Oryza sativa Japonica Group: one gene and its partners. The protein of the gene in region 3 binds, or shares a complex with, the protein of the main gene of each other region. Links are inferred from orthologs where the notes say so. Each region holds a gene or a part of one and is shown on either strand. Other genes may lie near its edges.

Evidence for each region.
Region 1: large ribosomal subunit protein uL13c (region 3) and large ribosomal subunit protein uL29c share a complex: the UniProt entries of both Arabidopsis thaliana proteins name them as parts of the 50S ribosomal subunit. The link is inferred for Oryza sativa Japonica Group from reciprocal best matches to the Arabidopsis thaliana genes emb1473 and AT5G65220.
Region 2: large ribosomal subunit protein uL13c (region 3) and uncharacterized protein share a complex: the UniProt entries of both Arabidopsis thaliana proteins name them as parts of the 50S ribosomal subunit. The link is inferred for Oryza sativa Japonica Group from reciprocal best matches to the Arabidopsis thaliana genes emb1473 and emb2184.
Region 4: large ribosomal subunit protein uL13c (region 3) and large ribosomal subunit protein cL37 share a complex: the UniProt entries of both Arabidopsis thaliana proteins name them as parts of the 50S ribosomal subunit. The link is inferred for Oryza sativa Japonica Group from reciprocal best matches to the Arabidopsis thaliana genes emb1473 and PSRP5.
Region 5: large ribosomal subunit protein uL13c (region 3) and large ribosomal subunit protein uL1c share a complex: the UniProt entries of both Arabidopsis thaliana proteins name them as parts of the 50S ribosomal subunit. The link is inferred for Oryza sativa Japonica Group from reciprocal best matches to the Arabidopsis thaliana genes emb1473 and EMB3126.
Region 6: large ribosomal subunit protein uL13c (region 3) and large ribosomal subunit protein bL9c share a complex: the UniProt entries of both Arabidopsis thaliana proteins name them as parts of the 50S ribosomal subunit. The link is inferred for Oryza sativa Japonica Group from reciprocal best matches to the Arabidopsis thaliana genes emb1473 and RPL9.
Region 7: large ribosomal subunit protein uL13c (region 3) and large ribosomal subunit protein bL28c share a complex: the UniProt entries of both Arabidopsis thaliana proteins name them as parts of the 50S ribosomal subunit. The link is inferred for Oryza sativa Japonica Group from reciprocal best matches to the Arabidopsis thaliana genes emb1473 and PRPL28.

Annotation. Positions count from the first base shown.
Region 1 is NC_089036.1:32,213,695-32,217,301, forward strand, and holds large ribosomal subunit protein uL29c, read left to right. Parts: upstream 1-1,361; 5' UTR 1,362-1,392; coding exon 1,393-1,746; intron 1,747-2,687; coding exon 2,688-2,831; 3' UTR 2,832-3,107; downstream 3,108-3,607.
Region 2 is NC_089035.1:25,929,496-25,932,102, forward strand, and holds uncharacterized protein, read right to left. Parts: upstream 1,362-2,607; 5' UTR 1,278-1,361; coding exon 1,188-1,277; intron 1,080-1,187; coding exon 762-1,079; 3' UTR 501-761; downstream 1-500. UniProt on the Arabidopsis thaliana protein: Binds the 23S rRNA.
Region 3 is NC_089035.1:31,965,685-31,969,944, forward strand, and holds large ribosomal subunit protein uL13c, read left to right. Parts: upstream 1-1,460; 5' UTR 1,461-1,555; coding exon 1,556-1,780; intron 1,781-2,341; coding exon 2,342-2,527; intron 2,528-2,808; coding exon 2,809-2,979; intron 2,980-3,452; coding exon 3,453-3,572; 3' UTR 3,573-3,805; downstream 3,806-4,260.
Region 4 is NC_089035.1:9,870,984-9,874,296, forward strand, and holds large ribosomal subunit protein cL37, read left to right. Parts: upstream 1-1,485; 5' UTR 1,486-1,531; coding exon 1,532-1,640; intron 1,641-2,340; coding exon 2,341-2,663; 3' UTR 2,664-2,813; downstream 2,814-3,313.
Region 5 is NC_089039.1:18,889,670-18,893,777, forward strand, and holds the start of large ribosomal subunit protein uL1c, read left to right. Parts: upstream 1-1,308; 5' UTR 1,309-1,487; coding exon 1,488-1,856; intron 1,857-1,962; coding exon 1,963-2,142; intron 2,143-2,252; coding exon 2,253-2,307; intron 2,308-2,573; coding exon 2,574-2,701; intron 2,702-3,162; coding exon 3,163-3,246; intron 3,247-4,108. UniProt on the Arabidopsis thaliana protein: This protein binds directly to 23S ribosomal RNA.
Region 6 is NC_089036.1:35,818,859-35,823,057, reverse strand, and holds large ribosomal subunit protein bL9c, read left to right. Parts: upstream 1-1,399; 5' UTR 1,400-1,418; coding exon 1,419-1,541; intron 1,542-2,208; coding exon 2,209-2,336; intron 2,337-2,686; coding exon 2,687-2,732; intron 2,733-3,001; coding exon 3,002-3,099; intron 3,100-3,183; coding exon 3,184-3,231; intron 3,232-3,333; coding exon 3,334-3,454; 3' UTR 3,455-3,520; intron 3,521-3,636; 3' UTR 3,637-3,874; downstream 3,875-4,199. Other genes in the region: 4-coumarate--CoA ligase-like 3, read right to left, coding at 1-83. UniProt on the Arabidopsis thaliana protein: Binds to the 23S rRNA.
Region 7 is NC_089039.1:104,682-108,692, reverse strand, and holds large ribosomal subunit protein bL28c, read left to right. Parts: upstream 1-1,211; 5' UTR 1,212-1,254; coding exon 1,255-1,435; intron 1,436-3,050; coding exon 3,051-3,283; 3' UTR 3,284-3,600; downstream 3,601-4,011.

The DNA of each region.
Region 1 (3,607 bases), on a different chromosome or scaffold from region 3:
CATTACGCATTTACGCTCACAGTGAAAGATCAAATCTCTCTCTCTCAAAAAAGGAGTGCAACAGTCAGACTTGATGCACAATCCATATGCTTCTTGATTCTGCATACCTTTCTGTCATTGTGTATTCAGCTTGTTAATTTCTGCTTTACATCGTTGAAGTGTTTCTGGTTGCTAAATAGGACAAATTTTATACTTGTAGATATACAAATACACTTAATTGAACTTGATTAACATAATTCTGTACAGAGCACAGCTTAAGCAGGCAAAGGTGAACAGAGATGTAGTTAACATGCCTTGGTGCTGATGTGTGAAGGTGTTCCAGATGCTTGGTCTTCTGCTACCCTCAGCTGCACCACCCTCGTACTGTAAGTCAAGAAAGGCCAACTCTTCAGATTTCAGACAAAGACAAAACATGTTACAATGTGACAGTTAATTTTTGGCAACTCATTCATTCCTTGGTGCCAATCTGAGCATTATTCAGTAGCATCGTGTAACACGCAAAAATCAACGAAAACAACAAAAGAAATTCCTTCTTTTTTCTTAATTACAGGTGGAATTAATCAGCTGTGGTGTGAAACTGTGAACCCGTAGGGAAGCAGGGGAGGGAGCTCCCGCTCCTGCATGACGGCATCCGGCGGCGGTAGCACGGTCCTCAGCCACGCCCTTTGTTGCACGGCCAGTGGCCTCCGTCCGAGATCCCCTTGGTGCCGCGACTTGGGGAGAGAGGCGGTCGGCGAATCAAAAGGCAGAAGCGAAGACGGACGTAGCGATGCATGTGATTTCCTCCTCCCCATCCCCAAGCACGGCAACCGAACTCATCGCCCCATCCAGCGACGAGGTGGATCTATGCCACCGCCGCCGAACTTGAGGGGAAAGACGGCACAGAACGGCGCGCTGGCGCGTGGGAGGGTCAGCCTAGGGCGTCGGAGGGGCGGAGGTGGAGCTGGAGCGCGGGGAGGAGGAAGAGGCGGCGACATCGGCGTAGGAGGACAAGTCGACCTCCGACGAATGAGGCGGAGGAAGCGGGGGCGGGGGCGCCGGCGGAGAGAAGGGCATTGCAGGTTTGGTATAACTTTTTCAAAAAGACCCCTAAAACCTCACATATTACAACGAGGTCCACCGCAGCTATTCCACACCGTTGATCTGTGATCTGACGGCTGCGAGAGGGAGACGAAAGCTGGAATCGTGCAGCGCCACGTGGAGGGGTTATTTGCACGCGAATCCGCGTAGATTTCGATATTTAGAGATGTGACATGCATATTAAGCAAGTGAAAGCCGTCCGATAATGCTTGAAGATTCGTGCCCCGAGTGGCTAATCAACATGACCAGATAAACCCCCTTATCCACGAACCCCGACCGGCAGAGAGCGCAGACGCGAGCGCAGCGCAAAAGATGGCGACGATGTCCCTCGCCGCGGCGTCCCCCCTCGCCTCGACTCCCCGTGGGCTCGCCGTCTCCACTCCCCGCACGGCCTTCCTCGGCCTCCTGACCGGAGGGGCGTCGCTGGCGCCGTTCCCGGGACTGGCGGCGGCGGCGGCGCCGCCGCGGCTGCCAGCGGGGAGGGGCGACGCGGCCGTGGCCAGGATGGCGAAGAGGGAGCAGGAGCTGGAGGAGATTCGGGCCATGCCGACGGAGAAGATCGAGGAGGAAGTGGTGGACCTGAAGGGGGAGCTCTTCATGCTCCGCCTCAAGCGCTCCGCGCGCCAGGAGTTCAAATCCAGCGAGTTCGGCCGCATGCGCAAGAGGGTATGTCTCTTACTCCATGGGGTACAGATATACCACAACTGCTAATTCCATTGCGAAAGTTTAGCATTTACTCCTGGCCAAAATGCGTTCAACCTACGAGTGGAAATTCCACCTTCTACTTCCAAATGGGTGTGGAGTGGTCGCATGTTCTGCTCAGTGTGTTCTGTTTACAAGGCCCTTTTGTTCAACCTCTAGTACTGAGTTGATTATGTTCAGATATATTGAGTTGATTTCAGGTTCAGAATAGTGGAATAACTTACCAATTTGTTGGTGGAATTTTGCCTGATTTTTATCAGTTGCATATTGGCCCATACTGAATTTACAGATGATTTGGGTTAATGCTTGGACAATTTCAGTCTCAGAAGCAATTTTTTTTTACTTAATTTGATTAGAAAGTCATGCTGACATCCATTTACGTATTCTTACATAGTATCTACTTTGGGTTTGTAGTATTGTTTATTGGATTTTAGTGCATAGAGTACTACATGAAGAATGATATTGCAATGCAATGTGTATCTGAAGAGCTTTTATACTGTTCTTGGGAAAGTAGTGTTAAATTAACCTTCAGTGGACCAAAATTTAAAATGGAACAAAACTTTGTTCTGAGGACGTCAAAATGCAGATAGTACACAAGAACTAATTCTACGGTCAGTTATGTGATACCTTGTTCTTCTTGAGGGCTTCTGATAAGTCAATTGTTATGAATTATCACTTGCTTTGGAGTTCAGGTCTCCACCTCTGCTCAGGGACAGCACAGGACAAATAGTTAGCAGCAGAGTAATGCATACTTATATCTGCCTCGATCAATGCTTCTTGCCTTTTAGGAGGAGGATATCAGATTTTTTTTTCCTGTTGTTTTTCTCACCCTGCTCATCTTGCTTCAATAGCAGCTTTCTACTATCTAAATTTAGCATTGACTTGGGTTGTCATCTTCGCATCAGATTGCTCGTATGCTGACTGTCAAAAGAGAACGGGAAATTGAACAAGGAATCAACAAGAGATTGTCTAGGAAGCTTGACAGGAAATGGAAGCAAAGCATCGTGGTTAGACCACCACCATCTCTAAGGGAGAACAAGGAGGAATAGAGAGCCACAAAAGCAGACAGTCTGTAGAAGTCATTTCATGCATGTCTTGAAGGAAGGTTTCTTTCTCCCTGTGGTTTCATTCCTTATAATGGATTGATATGTAATTCACATTAACTGATTTCCAAGTCCTTGCTGTCAAAACCAAAAGTTCTATTACCAATTCCATTTGTGTAAATTTCAGTTTATTCAAAATGTGTTGTCCATATATGCACTTATATTACTGATATATGAAACTGTGCTTAACGAGTGTATGCTATACACTTGTTGAAACTCAAACTGCCTATTCAAATTCACCTGTCACAAAGTTGTGGGTACGTACATACTATAAGAGGCAGATATGCAGAGTTCTAAAGAAGTGTCTCTGGAATACGGAGTAACAAAAACAAGAGAATTAGGCCATGTCTATAATAGTTCGCTTGGAATTTTGGTGCCCTGCTTTGCTCCAAACTCAAGTTCACTGTTTTATCAAACGTTTCAAAACTGTACAACTGTCTCCAAGCCCACGTTCTTGTGGCTTGTTGTGTCGGTCACCTAGATTTATGTTATTGTTCAACACTGATTTATGCTTAAACTAGCTCTGTTAGACTGTCCTAAAGCATGTTGGGCTTTCCCCTTCTACTCTAGCTTTAGAGTATGCTGCAGGTATCTCTGCACAGAGCTAGGGAGCCATCCTAGATCCATCATCAGTTTCATAAGCAAGCCCAGGTGGCTTGGCCCTTCAGCCAAAACTTGTTATTCTGATCTCTTCAACAGATCTTAACTTGAGATGTAGAGAG
Region 2 (2,607 bases), about 6.0 Mb from region 3:
CTCGCCTAGAAACCACGAGACGAATCTTTTGAGCCTAATTAAGCCATCATTAGCACATGTGGGTTACTGGAAACCACGAGACGAATCTTTTGAGCCTAATCAAGCCGTCATTAGCACATGTGGGTTACCGTAGCACTTATGGCTAATCATAGACTAATTAGACTCAAAAGATTCGTCTCGCGATTTACATGTAAACTGTGTAATTAATTTTTTTTATCTATATTTAATGCTTCGTATATGTGTCCAAAGATTCGATGTGATGTTTTTGCGAAAAGTTTTTGGGAACTAAACATAGCCTTTATTGGCTAGAGCGTGGCTTGGATTTTGATGGCCTCAACTTTAGCGAGAAAACATGGTAAACCTTAGCAATGTTAGTACGTGAACTAACAGCCCCTTACTGCTTATTCTGAAGACCGGACAAACTGATGTATGCAACGATTCTATTCGAGAGCCCAGACCAACACTAGCATGCATCGATTCAACGAGTTGGAAATGTCCAATTACAGAGTGTGCAAATTGCAATATCTCCATTTTATATCGATGTCAAAGAGTACAGGCAGAGAACAAACAGTTCGATACCACAAATATGATCACACGTATCCACTGAGAACACCGATCGAACACCTAGAGAGCAATGCGAATGCACGTGTAACGAGAGGCGCAAGCAAGAGGAGCTAATCCATTTTACGCAATTCCCAAAATCAACCAAGAGAAACCGCACCGGCGAGGCCGGCGGCGGAGGCGAGAGGCGAAGCGGGGGCTCAGCTGGCGCCGGCGGATCCCTCCTCCTCCGGGTCGAACTCCGGGTCGCCGTCGGGGTGCATCTCCCTCCACTGGTCCTCGGGCCAGTACTCCTTGATGTGGCCCCACTTCTTGCGGAACTTCTCGATCTGGCTGTCCATGACGACCATCGCCGACGTGTCGCCGACGTAGTAGGGGTGGTTCCCCGACCACACGTCCACCGTGTACTCCGGCTTGGTTCCCCCCGTCACCAGCACCAGCTCCCCGTTGCAGTACACCTTCGCGTCCTCGTAGATCTCCGGGTGCAGCCCCTTCTTCCGCATCGAGCACCGCATCCTCTGCACGGCAAATCGTCACACCACCGCCCAGTTCCAATCACCTCCTCCGAATCTCCGATTCGGCGGCGCTACGCCTACGCGGTTGTGGGGGCATCGAAGGAATCGTACCTGGGAGGGGACGAGGGAGCGGAGGGTGGTCCTCGTGGCCGCCGCGGCGGCTTGGGTCGGGAGGAAGGAGGTGGAGAGGGAGAGCGCCATGGCTGCTGCTTCCTCGCGCGCTCGCGTCGCACTTTGCTCCGGATTCCCCTGTTTCGTGTCCCTTATCGGTTTCTGGTGTGTGTTATCCTCTCAAGCGTTGATGATTCTCAATTTTTGAGGCTTTGGTGCCGTGCGGGTGGCCGCTCGCCTGCCTCGCTTTGGCTGGGCTTTCTTAATTGTTGTTTGGTTTGGGCTGATACACGTTGGTTACTTACTGGCCCAGAAAAAAAAATGTATGCAATTATTTCGTTTACGTGGTAAAAATATGCAGAATTCCTAATTCTCGCATACGCGCCGCGGGCGCGCACTTCTGGCCCACGCGTATGCACGGCACCGCACGGGCGCGGTTAGATTCTTTCCATAGCGCATGTAGTAACTAGTCCATTAGTTTTAGCGTGTAAAAAAATACATTAGTTTTAGATAATCAAGATAAGATTTGTTTTTTCCGAAAATTTTTTAAAGTAACAGATTGAAAAGAAATTTATACATCAAGTCAAATTCTGAAAACTTTCAACCCATATTTGAAAACTTTCAACTCGAAATTTGAATTTTTTTTAAAGTCAAATTTTGAAAACTTTCAACTTTTCATCTCAAATTGAAAAAATTCAACTCAAATTTAAAACTTTCAACTCAGATTTGAAAACTTTCAAGTCAAATTTAAAAACTTTGAAGTCAAAATTTAAAACTTTCAACTCTACATTTGTAAAGGGGTGTGCGAAAGATTAAAAAAATAGAAAGAAATGGCGAAAAAAAAGAAAAACGCACCCGGATCCAGGCGCCAAAATCGTAAAAAAAAAGTGAGAAAGAAAAGCACGCGGGAACAGGGGAGGGGGCCAACTGACGCGGGCGCCAGCTAAATTGCTAGCACGTACGTGCGCATTAGCCTCCCCAAAGATATGGGTTAATTGGATCATGTTATTGCAAGTTTACCAATTTGCCATTACTATTCACGATATCAGGTTCATGCCACTGAAATTTTGCAAAATTTGAGCTATGCCACTCCGTTACAACAACTGTCAATACCTCTGTTAGCTCAACACCGCACAACGCAGATCAGTTTCTTCTTCAACTCAGGCGAAAATCTGGCGGTTCTCAGGCTCGTCGACGACTGCACGGAGAGAGCTTCTTCGATGAGGGCGTTGCCAATCCGGTGACGATTGCAAGCTTAATACCCAATGAAGGGAGGTGGAGCTGGAGGGGAGTGACGGTCATGAACCCTGCATCGCTGGTGGAAGGTGGAGGGAAGCGCCGAGCCCAACCCATGCGTTGGAGGGGAGTGGCGGTCACAGACCCCACGCCGCCGGTGAAAGATGGAGGGGAGCGCTAAGCC
Region 3 (4,260 bases):
TTGTCGCCAGAAACATAGCCTAATTTTGGGTATATGATCCTATATCACCTGTAGTGCTGACTTGCTTGTGTGTGTGGACAATTTAACATGGGGCAATTACTCATTTGACCCTATTTTGATGTCTAACTATCAATTTGACCTTACTTTTCTAGGTTTGCTCATTTGACCATGCTTTTTAAAATTGAAGATCAGAGATGACCCTATTTTGTGAAGGGTAGATAACGGTGTTAACTAAGAGGGAAATTGTCCGTTTTGCCCCTGCTCATTTACCATATTATATCAAAGTTTTTTCTTCATCGGGACTTTTTAAATATTTGCAATGATTTTCATGGCTTTTACAGATCTGAGACAGATTTGTCTTCAATTTAACAGAATTTTACACAAATTTGACAGCATATTGTCCAACAGCAAAGCATATTGTCCAACAGCAAATCAGATCCAAATCCAACAATAAATTCGTATCCAAATCCATCAACAAATCCAACCACAAGTTATCCTCCGTCTCTCGTTCCACACGACGCACGACGGCAGCCGGCGGCGCCGCCCCTCCGCGCGGCAACAGCCGGCGCTGCTGCCCCTCCTCCACCCTCCGTGCGGCAGCAGCCCCGCCGCCGCTCAATCTCTCCGCTTCGAGCACGGCAGCCGCCGCCGCCGCCGCTCCCTCCTCCTGCGCGCCGACGCCGCTACTCCTTCCCTCCTCGCGCGGCCGCCGCCGCCGCTCGCCGCTCCCTCTCCTTCCTCGCGCGGCCGCCACTCCCTCTCCCTCCTCGCGCGGCCAACGCCGCCGCCGCTCCCTCTCCTTCCTCGCGCGGCCGCCACTCCCTCTCCCTCTACGCGCGGCCAACGCCGCCACCGCCGCCGCTCCCTCTCCCTCCTCGCGCGGCCGCCGCTACCGCTCCCTCTACGCGCGGCCAACGCCGCCGCCGCCGCCGCCGCTCCCTCTCCCTCCTCGCGCGGCCGCCGCCACCGCTCCCTCGATGCGCCGCCAACGCCGCCGCCGCCTCTCCCTCCAGCCCGGTCGGCGGCAGCTCTCCCCGTCACCGGCGAGGTGGGGATTGGGACGAAGAGCTGGGGAATGGAATGGGAATCCTAGGGTTAATTTGTAACACGGGGGTATTTTGGTCACTTTAGGGTAGTATTTTTTTTTTCTTTTTTCTAAGTGATGTTCTACCGGTGAAAGCAAAACAGGTCAAATGGAAACTTCAATTTCAAATAACAGGGTCAAATAAACAAACCTAAAAAAATAAGATCAATTTAGTAGTTGGCCTTTAAAATAGGGTTAAATAAGCAATTATCCCATTTAACATATCGGAATTTCTACGCGTTTCTCTAGCTTTGATGCATCTGTGGGCTGCAAAGCCCAGCTAAGCAAAAGGCCCATCTCTTCCTCTTCCCCTTCTGGCTCCCTCTCCCCCCCTATCCCCTTCTTATCCGCTCTGCTCTCTCCACCTCGCCTCCCCGAAACGAAATGGCAGTGGCGTTCCACTGAACCAGGCCAAGCCAGACGGACAAGACTTCGCCGCAGCCGCGTCCTCCTCACCGCGCCGCCGTCGCAATGGCTACGGCCATCGCAGCCTCCGCGTTCCTCTCCTCCGCCTTCGCCAGGGACAGGCCGCTCCCCCGCCAGCGGCGCGCGGCGAGGCCCGCGACCCGCCGCGCCGCCGCGGGGGGCCTGTCGGTGCGGTGCGAGCAGAGCGAGAAGCAGAAGAGGCAGCCGCTCTCCGCGCTCGTCCCCCGCGAGCAGCGATTCATGTTCGAAGGCGACGAGCTCTGCGGCCCCGTACTAACCCTCACCTCTCTTTCTCTCTCCCGTATACATTCTTCTCTTTCTCAGTTCAGAAAATGAATAGTAATGCTACATTCCTTGGATAAAGGGAAATTTTACCGTGATTTAGGATTGCCGCTTATTTAGGAAAGCTCAAGATTAGTCCCATTCATTTCTAAATCCGTAAGTCACTTCATCTTGCTCTATTGGGTCAAATCCTTTCTTTACATGAATAATGTTAGGGAAAATACACAATGTTTTTACATGTTACTATACCGTATAGACCACCATCTTATTTTATTTAAAGTTATCTAGTTGTAATTTATTACGAAAGAGGATTCCATAAAATGAACTGAAAATAACATGGAGGGAACGTTGGTCTTTCTGAATTGGTCGCTAACATTGTGTTGTATTACTCAACAGTGTTCGCACCTACATGACTACCATATCTTTTTATCTGTGGATGTTTAGGTTTGTGAAGTTAGAATTCAGTACGGATACCATTCTTGTGTTCTTTCTCTCTTTTCTGTGCAACCTGTTCTGTGTAGTGATCGGACCAAGGAATTTAATTTGCAGGACATATGGAACACAACATGGTACCCTAAGGCTGCAGATCATGTAACTACTGAGAAGACATGGTATGTTGTTGATGCAACAGACAAGATTCTAGGTAGGCTTGCATCCACCATTGCAGTACACATCAGAGGAAAGAATGAGGCCACATACACTCCAAGTGTGGACATGGGGGCTTTTGTTGTTGTGGTATGTATGTTTCTTGAAATTAATTTATAAAGTTAAATAGTGCACACAATAAGATCCTCTGTAGTCCCACAAAAGGAAAAGAGGTTTAGCAGCACATACAAATAAGCACCAAAAGGTATCTGGAAGCTGAGGTCCACCTGAAGGCATTTTGAAGCTGATTTCATGTATATATATTTATGTTACTGTGTGCTTTTAATACTAATGCATCTCTGAAGAGTAATTGCTACGCATATACTATTGTAAGTTCCTGAACTACCATGCTGAACTCTATGTTCACATAGGTTAATGCAGAGAAGGTTGCTGTTTCTGGCAAAAAGCGGTCACAGAAGCTCTACAGGAGGCACTCTGGACGGCCTGGTGGAATGAAAGAAGAAACTTTTGATCAGCTTCAGAAAAGGATTCCGGAGAGAATTATTGAACATGCAGTGCGTGGCATGCTTCCTAAGGGCAGAGTAAGACATCATCTCTTAGAGCTCTTATCTAGTCAGTTTCATCAAGTCTTTTTGACCTTAAGTCAGCCTACCTGGGTATACATATGCTCTTATCCTTATTTTTGGTCAATTTCTAATACATATCTGAAAATGGGTATCCTCGTTCTGTTCCATTATACTTCATTATTGTGTATAATTCCCCAACTTTATATACCCTGTTCATGGAAATATTCGCTCTAATTGAATGCCGAAACGGCGTGGGCTAACGAAGTACTAGATGTATTCTCCCAAAACTCCTATGTTGCCTGTAAGACATCTTATGATTGCCTAAAGCCTTTTACTTATGCCTAAGTTCATTTATAAAAAAAAAAAACGTTTACTATGTCAACCTCTCAAGTTCTCATATGTTAGTGACACTGACACATGTAATCCGACCAACTACAGCGGTTGTACGTGCTCTATGTAGCCTTCTCAACATTTTGAACATTTTGCAGCTGGGAAGAAGACTGTTTACCCACCTCAAGGTGTACAAGGGAGCAGAACATCCCCATGAGGCTCAAAAACCTGTTCCACTGCCTATCAAGGATAAAAGAATACAGAAGTCTGAGAAGTAGATAATTCCTGTGGAGACTAAGAAAGACACAACAATCTCACGTAAATTCCTCCCCTCGAGATTTTGTCCAATCTTTGGAATGTGATGCATCTGTCTGTTTGGGGAATGGAGTGTAAAATTTTTTGTAATTTACTTCCTCCAAAAGTTTGTGTTTCTAAGTCATAGTTCTTGTTGATTACATATCATGTACCTAATACCGTACGATTTTAAGCAATCCGATATTTCCATATCCAATTGAGTAGTGCAATTTTGACCTGAGATGAGCTTGATGTGTCATTGTTTGGGGGCAAAAGTGTTCTCTTTTTTCAATGGGCATCAGGTGTTTCTAAATTCTCTTAATAGTTGATGTAGATCTGTTAATTAATTGCACGTCCGTGTTTATCTTCCATATAACGAAAAAGTTGACAGTACCAATCGTGTGCTCAAGTAACACCTATTGTACCATGTACTCATTCTGTAAAAAAAAAGCCAATTTAGATGAAGATCTGATACCACCTAAAAATAATGATTAGGAGGTTATCCAGATTTATATTAGGTGGTATCAAATTTTCATCTACGGGGTTGTTTAGATCCAGAGGTGTAAAGTTTCGACGTATCACATCGGATATTATATAGAGTGTCGCATAGGGTGTTCGGTTACTAATAAAAAAAACTAATTACAGAATCCGTCAGTAAATCGTGAGATAAAT
Region 4 (3,313 bases), about 22 Mb from region 3:
CTATTATAGATCACCAACCATGCAAAATCTTGCTCTTTCATGGGGCCCATGGCTTCCAAATGAGGGTATCAAATTCTGACTTTGTTGTGCCTAGGAGTTGCGCTTTGTAGGCTGATGCCACCATATACTCACCATGGTTGGTTAGCTTCCAAGTGGTCGTGTCTTCCTCGCCCTCTACGAGATGCACTTCTTGGACTGCATTCCAGACAGTGACGAGCTGACTGATTAGTTTGGTCATCCTAGTTGCAATCGCCGATAGGTTGATGTCGAGTAGCCATTGGCCAGATTTGGTGGCCTACTGTAGAGTTCTGTTTTTCTTCCAGAAAGTCGCTTAGACCAGAGGGGCCAACTTCCTTAAGCCTTCTCCCTTGCAACCAAGCAAAGTCCCAGAATTTCGCTTTTGTACCATCTCCAACTGTCGTCGTCGTTCCCACAAAGAGGAGTTTGCCAATGTTGTCGCAAGGCGTCTCCGACCCCACTCAAAGCTTTCTTAGATAAACAATGTAGCAATCAGTGGCGCTTGGCGAGCCCATGGTTCAATTTTTCGTTTTCAGTATTTGTATTGGGGTGCTGATATACCGAAATTTGGTCCAGAATTATTTGAATTTTCGAACAAAATTTGGTCAAATTTGAATAAATATTACTAAATTCACACAAAAGAATAAAAAAAACTTTGGTCGAACCGGAAATTTGAACCCTGCGAGCCAGCCTGCGAGACTTGTCGTAGATTCTGTAAATCTTCTCTGACACTGATACAACGATGGCTCGTGCATCATCCTCATCCTCCTCTCCGGCAGCATTGATGTCCATGTCGAAGCTACGCTCGGCTGGAGGATCTCTGCACGCTCCATAATCTTGATGGGTGTCCGCGAGCTGAAGGAGCAGAAGCTTCCATCCCCAATGGCGCACGAGAGCTGACGACCCGGATCAACCATTGGCAGCAGCTCCTGTACAGACACCTCCTCGTCCTCGATGCTGAAACTGCTCTACGCCGGCGACGGCGACGGCGACGGCGACGACGAGGAGGAGACATTCTTGATGCGGTACACGGCGGCGCCGGCGCGTGCTTCGGCTTGGAGTGGGAGACGAAGAGGTTGTCGCTAGCTGCTCTTCTCATCACCGATGGGCACCCGCTTGGCCGTCGAACGGGAGGTTCTTGTCGTCGGCGAGCTCCCCCACCTCTTGCTATCCACGTCGAACGCAGGATGTGGCGGCCGGCGGCGGCGTAGGACGCGACGGCGAGCGCGGCCGGGCGGAGGGGACGCCGCCGATGCGGATTGTCGCCGCCACCCGCGGCGGCGGCGGAGGCGGCGAGAGGAGAAAAAGAAAATCAAAATCAAAATTTCTCTCCACCTATGACATGTGGGCCAACTGCCAAGCAGCCTTACTTGACGGAGATTAAATCTGGCCGTTGATTCTCCATCGGACGGCGGAGCGCTCACAGCAGCACAGGCTTATCTCCTCCCTCCGGGCTGATGGGTGGATAGGCTGACGACGGGCCAAGAAGCCGAATCCCACACTGCCCGTGGCCATGGCGCTGCTCCTCTCCCCGACCGTCTCCTTCCTCGCCTCCTCCTCCGCCTCCCCGCCTCGCGCCAGAGCTCTCCCCGCCTCCGCCAATGTCGCCTCCACCATCCCCGGTAACCTCCGTGAACGCCTTCTCCGTACCGGGACTTTTGCGCATAAGTTACTCGGGTTGTGGGGTGTTGGTTCTTGGATTGGATTATGCTGAGTGGGTACGAGGCTATCCATTGTTGTGAGGTGTGATTTGTAATTCGGTGGGAGGATTGGTCTAGATATTTGACGTTGGTGATTCGTGGCGTTTCTGATTCTCTGGGATGCGGTTGGCTCGTTAGGGAATTTCTTCAAACACGTCGTGTGCAGATGCAGTAATTCGTGGGAGATTCCGTGCATTTATCATCTCTGTACAAAGCTAGGTATAATTCATCTCAGTGAACTCTGCAGATTCTCGAAGCTTTGGTTCTTTCGTGCTTAAATGATAATATCAGATGCTATGTAAGCACCGGTCACTGGCAAAGGGTGACATTCGTAGTACACCCTACATTTGGGGCCTGATTGTTAATAGATGAGTAGATTTTACATATCTGTGCTCTGCTAAGATTCATCATAATATGTAATTGAGAACACTAGGATTGTTACTAGTTATTGTACTATATACTATCCATGAAGTGGCACACATGAGCTAGACTTATTAGCTTTCAAGTTTCTTATATGACGGAGATTCTATCAAAATTTTGAAAGTAGCATGCATGTACTCTGAATTCTATATCTAAAATGATGCACATTGAGGCTTGCCATTTGTCCTTTCTGATGCTACAGCCCCAAGGCTCCAGTGCAAGAATCTCTCCTCGCAGAGCCCTCTGAATGCTTCTTTCACCAAGAAGAGGCTAGTTTCTGTCCATGCCTCGGCAGAGGCTGGCGCAGAAGAAGCTGGCACAGATCAACCAGAGGAGCCAAAACCCACGGTTTCGATTGAGACAATGCCGCTCGAAACTAAGCAGAAGATGATCATGGAGCAGAGGGCGAAGATGAAGCTGGCCAAGAAGCTGAGGCAGCGGCGCAGGAGGCTTGTCCAGAAGAGGCGGCTGAGGAAGAAAGGTAGATGGCCACCATCCAAGATGAAGAAGCTCAAGAACGTCTAACCAGCAGTGATGTCGGTCGCTGTTCTTCTGTACACCTCTATGTTCTGTTCATCCGTCTCTGTATTTCCTAAGCTGATGCCCAGCGAATTTTGCTGTTCAAAATATGAAACACAATGTTTGCAAAATGTGATTATTTCTTTCCCGATGAAATTTCATCTTGTATTTTTTAGATAATGGATAAACCGGTCACCGTTAAAAACACACAAAGCCCAGTACTGAACAAATTTTCTTCTAACATGTCCCTCCTTTTTCTCCTTTAGGCTTTAGCTGTCCTACAGAAGTACCACTAAATCTAATGTGTGTTCCCATAGTGGAAATATCATATGCACCTTGATGCCTTCTGTGTTTGTCAAAAACTCAAAATCATAGCAAATTTCAAGAAGCCTTGCTGTGCTGCACTCTATATTTGTGAGGTATTTGCCTGTATATACACTTCCATGATGTGTTTTGTTAGGGCCTCTCACAACTCTTTCGTCTGACCTGATGTTGATTAAAGCACAAAGGATCAACCTGGACAAGGAAATAACTGGAGCAAATTCGGGTTTGTTTGTTGTTTGCCACTTTGTCAGGCACGATGTGAACAATCTGAAGAGTGCCATTTTCGATTTTTTTTCTGATGCCCTTCCTGTTGATGTGGTTGTAAAATTTAT
Region 5 (4,108 bases), on a different chromosome or scaffold from region 3:
GCGAGAGAACACCTCGTTTGCTTTTTCAAACGGAAGGAGACGGCGTCGGGTGGGGGGACGCCCTGGAGACACGCATTGTTGATGCTCTCAGAACCCATGAATTGCATAAGATTAAGACATTCAGTCCAATTTCTTCCAATATTCTTTCTAAAAGAGATCTTGTAAAGTTTGCATGTGACAAAAAAAAAAGAACTACTACATAACACTATACTGTTACAACAGAATACCTTATGGTGCTAACATCAGCACAGGATCGTAGGTATCATATTTGTATGTGCACTGGATCTGGTACTACCAGACACGATATCCATTAATACCACATTATCAGACTCTCGTATTGGTTCCTATTTCCTTCGTCCCATAAAAAATCAATTTCTAGGAATGAATCCGGACAACATTCTTAGGACATTCACAGTGCGCTACATATTTTTGCCGTTCCTCATATGCCACGTAGACGAAGAACCTGTTAAGCTTCATCCTCTACAATGCAAGTACTAGTAGTGGGTCCCACCGGTACAGTTTTTTCAATTTTCATCTCTCAATCTCTCTCTCTCCTCTGTTTCTTTTCTCATCCGAAATCTTTCATCCCCCAATCTCTCACTCTATTTCTTTTCTCACCAGGGCATCCGAGGCGCTGGGGCTGAGCGGCGGCGGCTGTCAGGGCAGCCCGAGCTGCGACGGTGCCGGACGGCGAGCTCCCATCCTCATCATTGGATACGGTGGCGGTCGCAGCCTCTTCGTCGATGGCGCCTTCCTCTCTCTCTCTCCCCGTGGCTGTGGCGACAATGCGCTCGCTGTCGACGCTGCGCGAAGCCACTCGTGTGAGGCTCCGCCCTCCACAACACGACAACTCACCTTTCTCCCTGCTTTCTTCGTTTGAAGAACGAGTATCCATGTTTGGGTACGAGAACCTTATTTGGCTCCGCGTACTGTCAATGCGGCGCCGAATATTCAGTTCTTGGCTATGGGGCTGAACGTCACATCCTTCTACTGTGAACACTCTTAGAAGTTGTATCTTTTGGGATAGAGAGTGTAGGTACTCTGATGGTACGGCCAGACATTTCTGATACTCTCGCAACTAACAGATTATGGGTAATGGTTCGTAGTATTTTTAAAAAGTAAATAGCACTACATTATCGGTGGTTCTTTTGGACCGTACCCAGTAACGGCGAAATCGTGAGCTTTTGGGCCCAATCCGACGCCCGCGGCGCCGCAGCGCACCACCCTCCCCCAACCGTCTCCCCCGCGCGCGCGGGCACACACGGCTCGGCTAATCCAAAATAGCCCAAATCGCACGAGTCCTCCCCCGTCCCCCGCGACGCGCGAGCGAGAGAGAGCCCTATCCGCTGCGCGCTTCGCCCGCTCGCCTCGCCCTCGCCTCACCGGCTATTATAACACTCTCGCGCTGCCACTTCGCCTTTTCCTCCCCTTTCTATCCTCCACCTCGGCTTATCTCCTCCCCCCTCCCCACCACCACCACCACCACCATGGCCACAGCCGCTTCCCTCTCCGCCACCGCCTCCTCCCTCCTCGCCCCCGCCCCCGCCACCACCGGCGCCGCGGCGGCGCAGTGCTGCTCCTCCTCGTCCACCGCGCTGTTCCCCACCCCCGTCCCGTCGCTGCGCGCCTACTACCCGCGCCTGCTCCTCGCGTTCCGCCGCCCCGCCGTCGCCGCCGTCGCAGACCCGCAGGGCGCCGTGCTCGAGGAGGAGCAGGGGGAGCAGCAGGACGAGGGGCAGGAGCAGTACGACGACGACGACTACGACGACGGGTACGAGGGCGGACGCGGCCCCGCGTTCACGCCCCCCACCCGCCCGCGCACCGGCAAGGCCGCCCTTCCGCTCAAGCGCGACCGCGTATGCCCCCCCCGAATCCAGCCTCCCCCCCGCGTGTTCATCCATTCGTGTTGATTTTTGGATTGACGCTGACGCCGCGTTCGCCTTTTTTTTGATGGGTTTGCAGACGAGGTCGAAGCGATTCCTGGAGATACAGAAGCTGAGGGAGAGCAAGAAGGAGCACGACGTGCCCACGGCCATCTCGCTGGTGAAGCAGATGGCCAGCGCCCGATTCGTCGAGTCCGCTGAGGCGCACTTCCGCATGAACCTCGACCCCAAGTACAACGACCAGCAGCTCCGCGCCACGGTTATTGCTCTTTCTCTCTGCTGTTGCCATTGTTACGTACGTTCTGTTCTGGCTTGTGTTTTATCAATCGTTTTTGATGATATTGGATCGGTTTTGGTGATGATGTGCAGGTTAATTTGCCCAAGGGGACGGGCCAGTCGGTGAAGATTGCGGTCCTCACACAAGGTGGGTTGCAATTACATTTTGGAGATTGTTATCGCAGCACCAATTCCAATTGCAATCTTTGGTGCATGGATTGATTAGGTCACTGCTAGTTGTGTCTTTTAGGTGTGGTTTGCCTGCTTGATCATGTGGTTATTTACGGTTCATTAAATTGGAAGCACGCTGTTATATAGTGAATTGAAATGGAAGTATGTGAATGCGCGCTAGTCACTAAAGTGGTGCACTAATCACTAGCACTATGTAATGGCTATTGTCAAATATCCTTGCAGGTGAGAAGATAGATCAAGCAAGAGCTGCAGGAGCTGATATTGTCGGTGGAGATGACCTGATTGACCAAATAAAAGGAGGATTTATGGAATTTGACAAGCTGATTGCATCACCTGATATGATGCCTAAGGTATGGCATTAGCTGCATAACTCATGTCTAAAACAATTCCAAGCATTATGAAGACTTGTCTTTTTGCATGTCTCCGACATAGTTTATCCCACATCCAAATGAACACGTTATGTTTCAGTGTTATTAGGAACCACAAAACCAGGCAACATTTAGTTGTATTGATCAGATATTGTTTTCTTATCATTACCTGCCATATCTGATCCATCCCTTCATATTACAAGTGTCTAGCATTTACGATTATGATTTGAGCCATAATGGAGATATGCAAATTTGGTTCACTCAGAGAAAATAGATTCGATAAGCAAATAAGGTTCTACTGTTTTGAATTGGTACATTCTTCGGAAGTTTGGATGCAGTTCTGCAATAAGTGTTGAGCTCCATGCAAGACCTGCATGGAAGTTTTAAAGGTGTGCTACTAGCTCGGCATATTATGTTGTTGATTTTGGTCTTTTGCTTCACAGGTCGCCGGATTGGGAAAGATTCTAGGACCGAGAGGACTTATGCCTAACCCCAAAGCTGGGACTGTTTCTCCAAACATAACTCAGGTACAATGGAAATTCTACAGATTACTATATGTATTGACACTGTTGCTTGTGGTTTTCTCTCCCATTTGCTTGGTTATTGTGACCCTGAGTGAAAGGTGGGTAACTGTCCATTTACCTTCTTTGATCCTTGGTGAACTTCTGTTTTATCCTCGTTCAATGCAATAGGCAGAACTCCTGCCCTTTTGTTCAAAGAAGTTGTCCATTTACGTCATCTCAGTACTTACCTCATAGATGCACTTCTGGGAGAAAACCTACTGATATATTGCTACCTTGTTTAGTAGTCTTCATTGTGTGTGCAATATATTTCAGTGGTTCGATTTTCAGACATGTTGATAGACATTTTTTTAACCTTGTTATTCGTAGATAGAAGGTTTGAAATTTTGTTTGTGCCAACTGAATTTGAGGATATGCATGGATGCATAGCTCCATCGTTCGTTTGTTGGCTTATCAACGGCAGCCAAAATCTGGATTTTGAAACTTAATTTAGAATTGATTTTGAGGGGTTTTTTTTATTGTGCTTTATTCTCCAGTGCTGGCTTTTGAATCGCTAAGAACATAGATATAGACGTTTTACTCAAAAGTTATTTTTGGTTGCTTCGTCATTTTTCCACGGCTTATCAGCCATAGAGCAAATGATCGTGTAATGACTGATGATGATGGTAATCTGCTACTTAGCCTGCATAGTGCCTCCGTAACAGTTATGTAAAGCATCACAACAAATCTGCAAAATAGAGAAAACAGGTAAAGTAGGCTACTTGACTGTTAGGAACAACCATCATTTATAACGGTTAACTGAAGGACAGGAGTGGGAGCATTTGTGAAAAATCTAGCCCTTTAGGTAATGAACTGGGCTATATTGTGC
Region 6 (4,199 bases), on a different chromosome or scaffold from region 3:
TGGGGCAAGCGGGAGAGCACGAAGGACGCCGCGTCGCCGGCGGCGGCGGCGGCCGAGTACTCGGATTCCAAGATTTCCTCCATGGTATTGGTATCTCGATCTTTGGGTGTAACGATCGATGGAGAATTGGATTGGAGATGAAGCGAAGGTGGAAGAGGGTGTGAGGATTTTTAAAGTTTTGGCGCGCTAGCTAGCTTAGCTAGCTTCGTGGAGTCCGCTTGTTTGGTTTCTCCGATGGCGGGAAGGACGAAGTCATGGACGGCTGCATGACATGACGACGACGATGACATATACTCGATTATATACCCCTCTTCTCTTCGGTTTTCTCATCTCGTTGAGCAGTAGACATACTAATTCAATAAGATATATAATCGCCATTCTTTTTAAGAACGATTTGCTAGGTTTTTTTTTAATTTTTGTTCCTTTCGAGAAACAGGTCACCAGCTGGAGATCTTTGTCAGAAAAAGTACAACAAGATGATACTGGAGTATGATATACGAGGATGATATTTTGATGATACTCGTTGATAATTAAACAATGATACTTGATTATACTCTTTGATATTATTCATGAAGATACGGAGTATTTGCTAATACTCGTTCTTGCACATTGATACTTGATGATACTCGTTGATATTTGCTTATACTATTAATACACGTTTATACGTAATGGTAGCTAGTGATGTATCGTTGAGTTTCAAGATAGCACCAAAATAGTGTTATAATAATATATTTCTCGATTTATGTTATAACATGAATATTAGTGAAGGACCTAATATCAAATAATTAGAAGGGGTGAGGTTACGAATCCAGGTCATTTAGGCTATCACCTTGTGGAGCTAGCCGGAAGACCCCTGAGTGTTTCTCTTAATGTATGTTATAACATCTTGGCATCACATGTACTATCTATCTATCTTAGTAATATCGTCGAGGTATCACGTACATATATATCTCCTACCTTTCTCTATACGTTGAGTGGAAGGGGGTTACAATTTGGTGGATTATTATTACGACTTGTTTGGTATGAAACCATGCCAAAATATTGGCAATGCCAAATCTTGAGTAAATTTTGGTATTACTAAATTTTTGTTATTGTCTATTTGGCTTCACCTTATTGATTTAGCAAAATTTGACTCTAATTCAAATAGTTACGTGTTAACTATTCAAAGTTACCAAATAATTTATTTTTGACCTTTAAGTTATCAAAGAATTAGTAAGGCAAGAAGGAGCGCCAAACCAAAATGACCCTTAATCTTCAAGCCCATGACAACCCCGAAGAAAACCTTTGATACTGGGCCGATTTGAAAGGCCCAAAGCAGCGCAAAGCCCAAGAGAGAGGGCACCAAATCCGTTGGGGAAGTGGATAAGAGAGCAGCAGCCGCAGTTCCTTCCCTTCCCCCGCAATCCATCCCCAACGCCATGGCCTCCACGCTCGCCTGGAGCTCCGCCGCCTCCTCCTCCGCCCCCTCCTCCCGCCTCCCGCCGCGCCGCTCCCCGTCGCTGGTCGTCGTCGCCCAGGGCAAGGTCAAGAAGTATCGCCAGGTTTGGCTTCCACTTGTATTTTCTCTCCACAGTTGCAGCATGTATGTATGTATGTATTTAATTGCGATTCGTTCGAGCTAAGCAGTACTAGTACTGACTGATTGAACAAGCTGTTGCTGGTGATGCTTTTGTTTTGCCTCTTTTAGAACTAGCCATACCCAATGTACTGTCTGTCACCACCCTGTCCACTAATCAGTACAGTAGATTACAAAGCGCATGCGACTGCATTCCATCGATCGAAAAATTCGAAATGCAGCAGCTGTAAGCTTAAGATTACTGTGTGCATTCACACATCTGAGTATAGGAAAAGATACATTGCCATGGACGCATGCTCTGATGCAGTACATGGAAATGGAAGAAACTATCGTCATGTTTTTAATTAGGTGCCTCTTAGCATTGCAACTCAGATGCAAAAGTCATCTCTAATATGATTCTGTATATGCCCCGGAACGCCGGAATTGTTGGTTTGGCCATGCTGTTTGTTTGTAGGGAAAGTTGCAACTAAAAGGCATCTAGATACACCCAGTTCAAAATTTGCACCTGTAAACTGTAAAATGTTCCAAGCCTATGTCATCATCTTCCTTGTCTATTATGCATTTCTATACTTTAGCATGTAATGCACGATTCCGTATTTGATTTACTTCACTTGAGTTTCTTTTTCTCCCAGGTCATACTGACAGATGACATAGCAGAGGTGGGGAAGAAAGGGGACACGCTTAAAGTGAGGGCCGGGTTCTACCGCAACTTCCTTCTGCCAAAGGGCAAGGCAACGCTGCTCACCCCAGAAGTACTCAAGTAATCTTCTGTCTTACAGTCATTTACCACATCTCACGAATTGTATAGGCTATGTTTCAACCAACAGATAGGTGCTCCTAGTAAATTAATTGACGTATGCTTATGTTTCATCGTAGTTGGTTTTCACAGTATGCTGCAGGTGTAAATTTGCAGCTATTTATTCTGTTGTGTTAGCCATTGTATCTCTTGCCTCCTTGTGGAGCCCAGGATTGACATATAAATCTGCAAACTTTTATAGATGCCTATTCTGCATTTCTAGTTCAGTTCTTCTGGGGTGTTCAACATGTTCAATTAGTTCTTGTAAAAGGATGGCTAGTAAGCTACTTAATTTCCTCTGCTGCTGTCTACAGGGAAATGCAAGTAGAACAGGAGAGGATAGATGCTGAAAAGAAGCGGGTAAGTAAACCTATTATTCTATTTGTGGACTCAGTAAGAATTGATATAGTTGAAACTTATTCCTATTTGTTCCTGTCTGTCTAAAAACTACTGTGGTAGTTATACCCTACTAATCCTTGTTCTCCAGGGTACGTAGTTGTGGTTTAGCTTATTTTGTAAAAAGTCTAAAGCATGATTTGTTCCTACCAATATCATTTTCCATAAGAGTATAAGAACTTTCATCCAGTGTTAGCATAATCTTACCCTGTTGAGCATTTGTGCTTGAGTAGGTAAAAGAAGAGGCACAGCAACTTGCCCGTGTTTTTGAAACTATTGGGGCATTCAAAGTGCCACGTAAAGGTGGGAAAGGAAAACAGATATTTGGGAGGCAAGTTTTTATCGAGTAGATAGTTCTTTATGTATCGTCTTATTTTACTTGCACTTAATAACAAGTTTTTCTTCTATTCTACAGCGTCACAGCACAAGATCTTGTTGACATCATAAAGTCACAACTTAATAGGTATGCCCTTCTAAGTGCACTGACAATCACTACCTTTTAAGGAAGGATTGCGATGCTCTATTTGCTGCTGTTGCTTTGCTTACCGGAAACTATTTCATGTAGGGATGTCGACAAGCGTCTCGTGACAGTGCCAGAAATTCGTGAAATTGGGGAATACATTGCAGAGATTAAGCTTCACCCTGAAGTCACAGCTCAAGTAAGGCTGACCGTATATGCGAAATAAGCCCTGAAGCTGCTTGATTGAATCTTTAGTGGATGGTGGGCTTTGGATGAATTCTGATTTCACCAGGTAAGCTCATCTGCAAGGCATTCCATTGTTCCTTACCTTTTGCTCCGTTCTTAAGCTGTCATATACATTTCGTCAATTGTGTTAGCAGCTGAATTCATGCAATGATTTACTTGCAGAGATTTTTGCTGAAACTCCAAGGTGCAGTGTCACATCACGGGGCTTGGTCTTTACACATTGCCACTGTCCATCCTACCTGTAAAGTCAGTTTCTTGCACCTTTTTTTTTTTGACAAATTTATTTGTGTTAATGTTATGGGGTTAAATGGGCATGATGTAAACAACAAAGGGTTCAGAGTCTAGAGCAACTGATACTTGTCTTGTAATCTTGTTTAAAGGTGCACGTTCTTTATAGTCATATAGTTTGATAGAGCTACTACAATATTTGGGTTGGGTGGGCCAAAATGGCACGTAGGCAGTCTGGTGGTCGTAGGTTGGGCCGCTTGGTCGCTGTATTATTAGGCCCAAACATAGGGATTTCAACACATTTTTTAATGAAAACTTTCATCTGAAAAAACCTTCGTTTGGAAACTTCCATCCAGAAACTTTTCATCTGAAACTTTGACACGGACTTTATATGCCAAAAGTGTGTGCCGCGGGCAAAGCTGAGCTAATTAGTCATCCTGTTAGTACATAAACTATTTGGGTTAGATTTGTTTGTGGGTGAGGGTGGAAAAAGTTAG
Region 7 (4,011 bases), on a different chromosome or scaffold from region 3:
CAACACTGGTAGGACAGACAACAATCCTCCACACCGCCTGCGAGAGGGTCCTCTTCCTGTCTTCCTGGCCATCAAGGAGGAGAGAATCAACTCCACATCTTCTCGGGTGACCTCTTTGATAGCTCCTTCGGCGAGGGATGGGTGGGCGGAAGTCAAGGAGGCTGTTCTTGAAGACGGAAAAGAGAAGTAGGGGCCGGCTCGACCTCGACCCGGTGTTGCGATGTCGTCGCGAGCATGCCGGTCTGTCTCCTCCGAGAGCTCCACTGTCTCCACTTCAAAAGCCATCAACGAGGAGGAGCCCAAGAGCGATGTGGAGGAGTATGAGGAAGAGGAGGAGGTGGACCAGTGGGTAGAAGTGTGCTATCTGGAATGGAGGTTGATGCGAAGGGGATCTGGAAGTGGGAGCCAGACTTTTGCTACTGTCCCCATCTTGGATGCTCGCGAGAATGTGTGGGAGTTGGTGGTGTGCGACACGACATTGTCCCTCTAGTTCACTTGCTTCTTCCCCAACACCTCCATCAACAACGTCACCCTCCGCATGCGTACTCATCTTCATCACTACCGCTTGAGCTCAAGTTTTGCCGCCACCACCGCAGCACCCCCTTCCCATCCCCGCGGCTCCTCACACTCCTGACACGACTGGGCTTTCCTGCAGATAGCTCATGAGCTCGAACTCGCCGGCTCCCTCACCTACCTCCTCTTCTCCCCCGTCGTGGACCACTGGAGCCACCTCATCACTGACCTCCCACCACCATTACCACCTCCCGTGGATGGGCTCGCTGGCCGCCGCCCCTCTCCCCACTGGAGGAGATGGGAAAGAGAGGGGGGAGGTGGAGAGATGGGGAAGAGAGGGGACAGGTTGGGAGGAAGTCCACTTTAAATTTTAATTTTCTGATTGGTATGCCACGTTAGTGAAACCAGTCATCCATAATACCATGAGACTGACTTGGAAGGTTTTTCCAAAATGGGGGGGAGGGGGTGAAGATTGCTGGTATTGCGGTTTAGAGATACCATTAAACTCGACGTAAAATAAGGGATAATAAGTGGACTTATCACTGTGAGTAATACTAGTAGTAATGAGAGTTGGGCTTGGGCCGCCCTTTTCTACAGTACTACGATATATGGGCCCCTGCTCACACAGTACATAGAGAGACGATTATGATAGGATAGGAGAAACAAGTTGTACGCCACGCCGCAGCCGCACAAGACTTGATCCTCTTCTTCTTCTTCTTCTTCCTCCAGGCTCCAGTGGCGATGGCGACCATGCTCTGCTCCTTCACGCCCGCCACCAGGGCTCCGCTCCTTCGCACTTCCTCCTCCTCTTCCTCTCTCGGCTTCGCCACCTCGCAACTCGCCGGCCTCAGCCTCGGCCTCTCCGCCGCAGCCACCACCGCGCCCTCCGCCGCCGGTCCCAAGCTCCACCCCATCCTCGCGCGTACGTCATCTGCCTCCTCCTTCTTCTCTCTGTTTCGAGCCATCCACCCGCAGATTGACATTACAGTTTTATATTACACCACCAATGTCATTTCTGCTACTATTAAAGTTGTTACTTTATCCTTCGTTTTTTTTTTGCGCTATCCAATACTCCACTGTATATATACTACTACTAGAACCAGATGACCTATTTGTTAGTAATTGATTGCTTTAATCTCTCGAAAATAGACTAGCTGTCAATCTATTACCATAAACTCAGATCTTTCTTTGTATTTTTAAGAGAATGGAAGCTTTATTGAATTTGGTCGTTCTTTGCACCATGTCAGTGCACAACCAATAGATACCACACAACAAGAAAAACAGAACTAACTCAACGATTAAGGACCTAATATCGGAAGACTAGGTTGCCGCTCATGTGCCTGGGTAAAAAAAAAAAACCTTGACCACATGCTCCAAATGAAGACAAGCCGAACAGACAAAACCCCTGTAATCTGGCTTCTTGAGAATAATCCATGATCGGAGCCAATGTGTGATCAAGAAAATAACCTGCAAAGAAGAAGAAACAATTTTCCTGTCAAAAATCACATCATTCCTTTATAGCCAAATAGCCCAACAAGTCAACTCCTAGTAGAAAAGGAGGCCTAGACTCTTTGTTTTGTCGCAAACTCCATTGTCCAGACATATGTGACACACTCCTAGGTGAAGAAATGTTCGATGCAATCTGGATTAAAGACCAAACTGATCGGGCTAGCCGACATTCAAAAAATAAATGCTTTATCGTTTCTTCCTTGTGGTAAAAACAATAGGTCTTATTCCCTTTTCAATTCCGTTTAGCCAGGTTATCTTTTGTTAACACCACCCCTCGACATAAATACGATAGAAACATTTTCACTTTGAGAGGGATTTTTAACTTCTAGATATGTTTGTTAAAATTGGGAACTCTTGTATGTGCAAGATAATGAGTTTTAACCAAGAATCTTCCATCAGGTGTTAGATTCAATTTAAAGTCATCTTTCTCGTGTGACAACACTATATTAGCAATGCGTGGAAAGAGATGATTCCACGCCACTAACTTAAGGCCAATAATATCCTTGCGCCAAGTGAAATTTAACAGGGTTGTTTAGAATATATTTGAAATGGTTGCTTGTTTATGTCTGACAACCATCTCTTTGTTTCTCTAAGACATAAGCAGAGCTTCTTCTTCTTACTAGTGTATATAAGAAAGAAGGGGGAAAAGAAAAAATATAACTATTCTGGCCATTTCAAGTTATAGTTTTAGTTTTATTCTAAGTCAACCATTCATAACTTTAACTATCAATTTCTTATTTAAAAAGATAATTGTGACTTATCAATTTCTAGAAATTTGTAAAGTTTAACAACATGTTAATTGTACTATATATTATGAAGGTACTTTTCATGATGCATATATAAACACATAAATATTATGATATTAAATGTTTGGCTTATGATAAAGTTAAGGACAAGTAATTTAAAAGGGTGAGATTATACTTTATCTTTTGTTTGCATGATGCCACAAATTATAGAAACTAGTAGTAGTAGGAACAAGATGGCGTGTATGGTGATGTTGTTGTATGATGTGGGGGTGGGTGACTCAGGCCGGATATGCCCCTTCACGGACAAGAAGACCAACAGGGCGAACAAGGTGTCCTTCTCAAACCACAAGACGAAGAAGCAGCAGTTTGTGAACCTGCAGTACAAGAAGCTGTGGTGGGAGGAAGGCAAGCGCTTCGTCAAGCTGCGTCTCTCCACCAAAGCCCTCAAGACCATCGAGAAGCATGGCCTCGACGCCGTCGCCAAAAAGGCCGGCATCGACCTCAACAAGAAATAAATCAAATCATCATCATCATGATGCATACATACATGTATTCTCTCATCAATTGCCGCTGTGCTGAATAGACCAGAGCTGTATGTAGTCCATTATTAAATCCATTCATCTCGATGATGCAATTTATTGTAGAGTACTACAGTATGCATTCATCGGTGGTGGTGGCCGGCTTCGTTTCCTTAAATTTCCTTTTATCCCGTGTTGCTGCTGCAAGTCCGGCTCGAATTGTTTGCTACTAGTGTTTCATTTCGGTCGAGTTCCTAATTAATACTGTATGTTGGTTACGAATTATAAGATGGATGGATGTAACTTGAGCAGCATCAGGTCGTGCAGTTGGCATCTTGCGCTTTTCACTTTAGAGTGTCTTCCAGTCTAAGCTGAAATTGATTAATTATTTTATTTCCTTTTTGGCTATTGATATTTAATAAGAGCCTAAATGAAAGAATTAACTTGTACAAAATTGAAAAGCTGTTTGTTTTGTACAAAAGGAACTCCTACGCCAATATTGATTGTTCTACTGCTATGGCCTGTCTGGTTTGAGATAGCTGAAATTGATGGATTGTTTTATTCCCCTTTTTAGCTATTGATATTTAATAAGAGCCTAAATGAATAATGAACCCCTACAAAATTAGAAGGTTGTTTTTTTTCTCTCTAAAAATGTAGAGACGAGAAAAAGGTGTTGAGTTGTAGACGTGGAGCAACCCGGCAGCTCCACACACGCGCAACCTCTG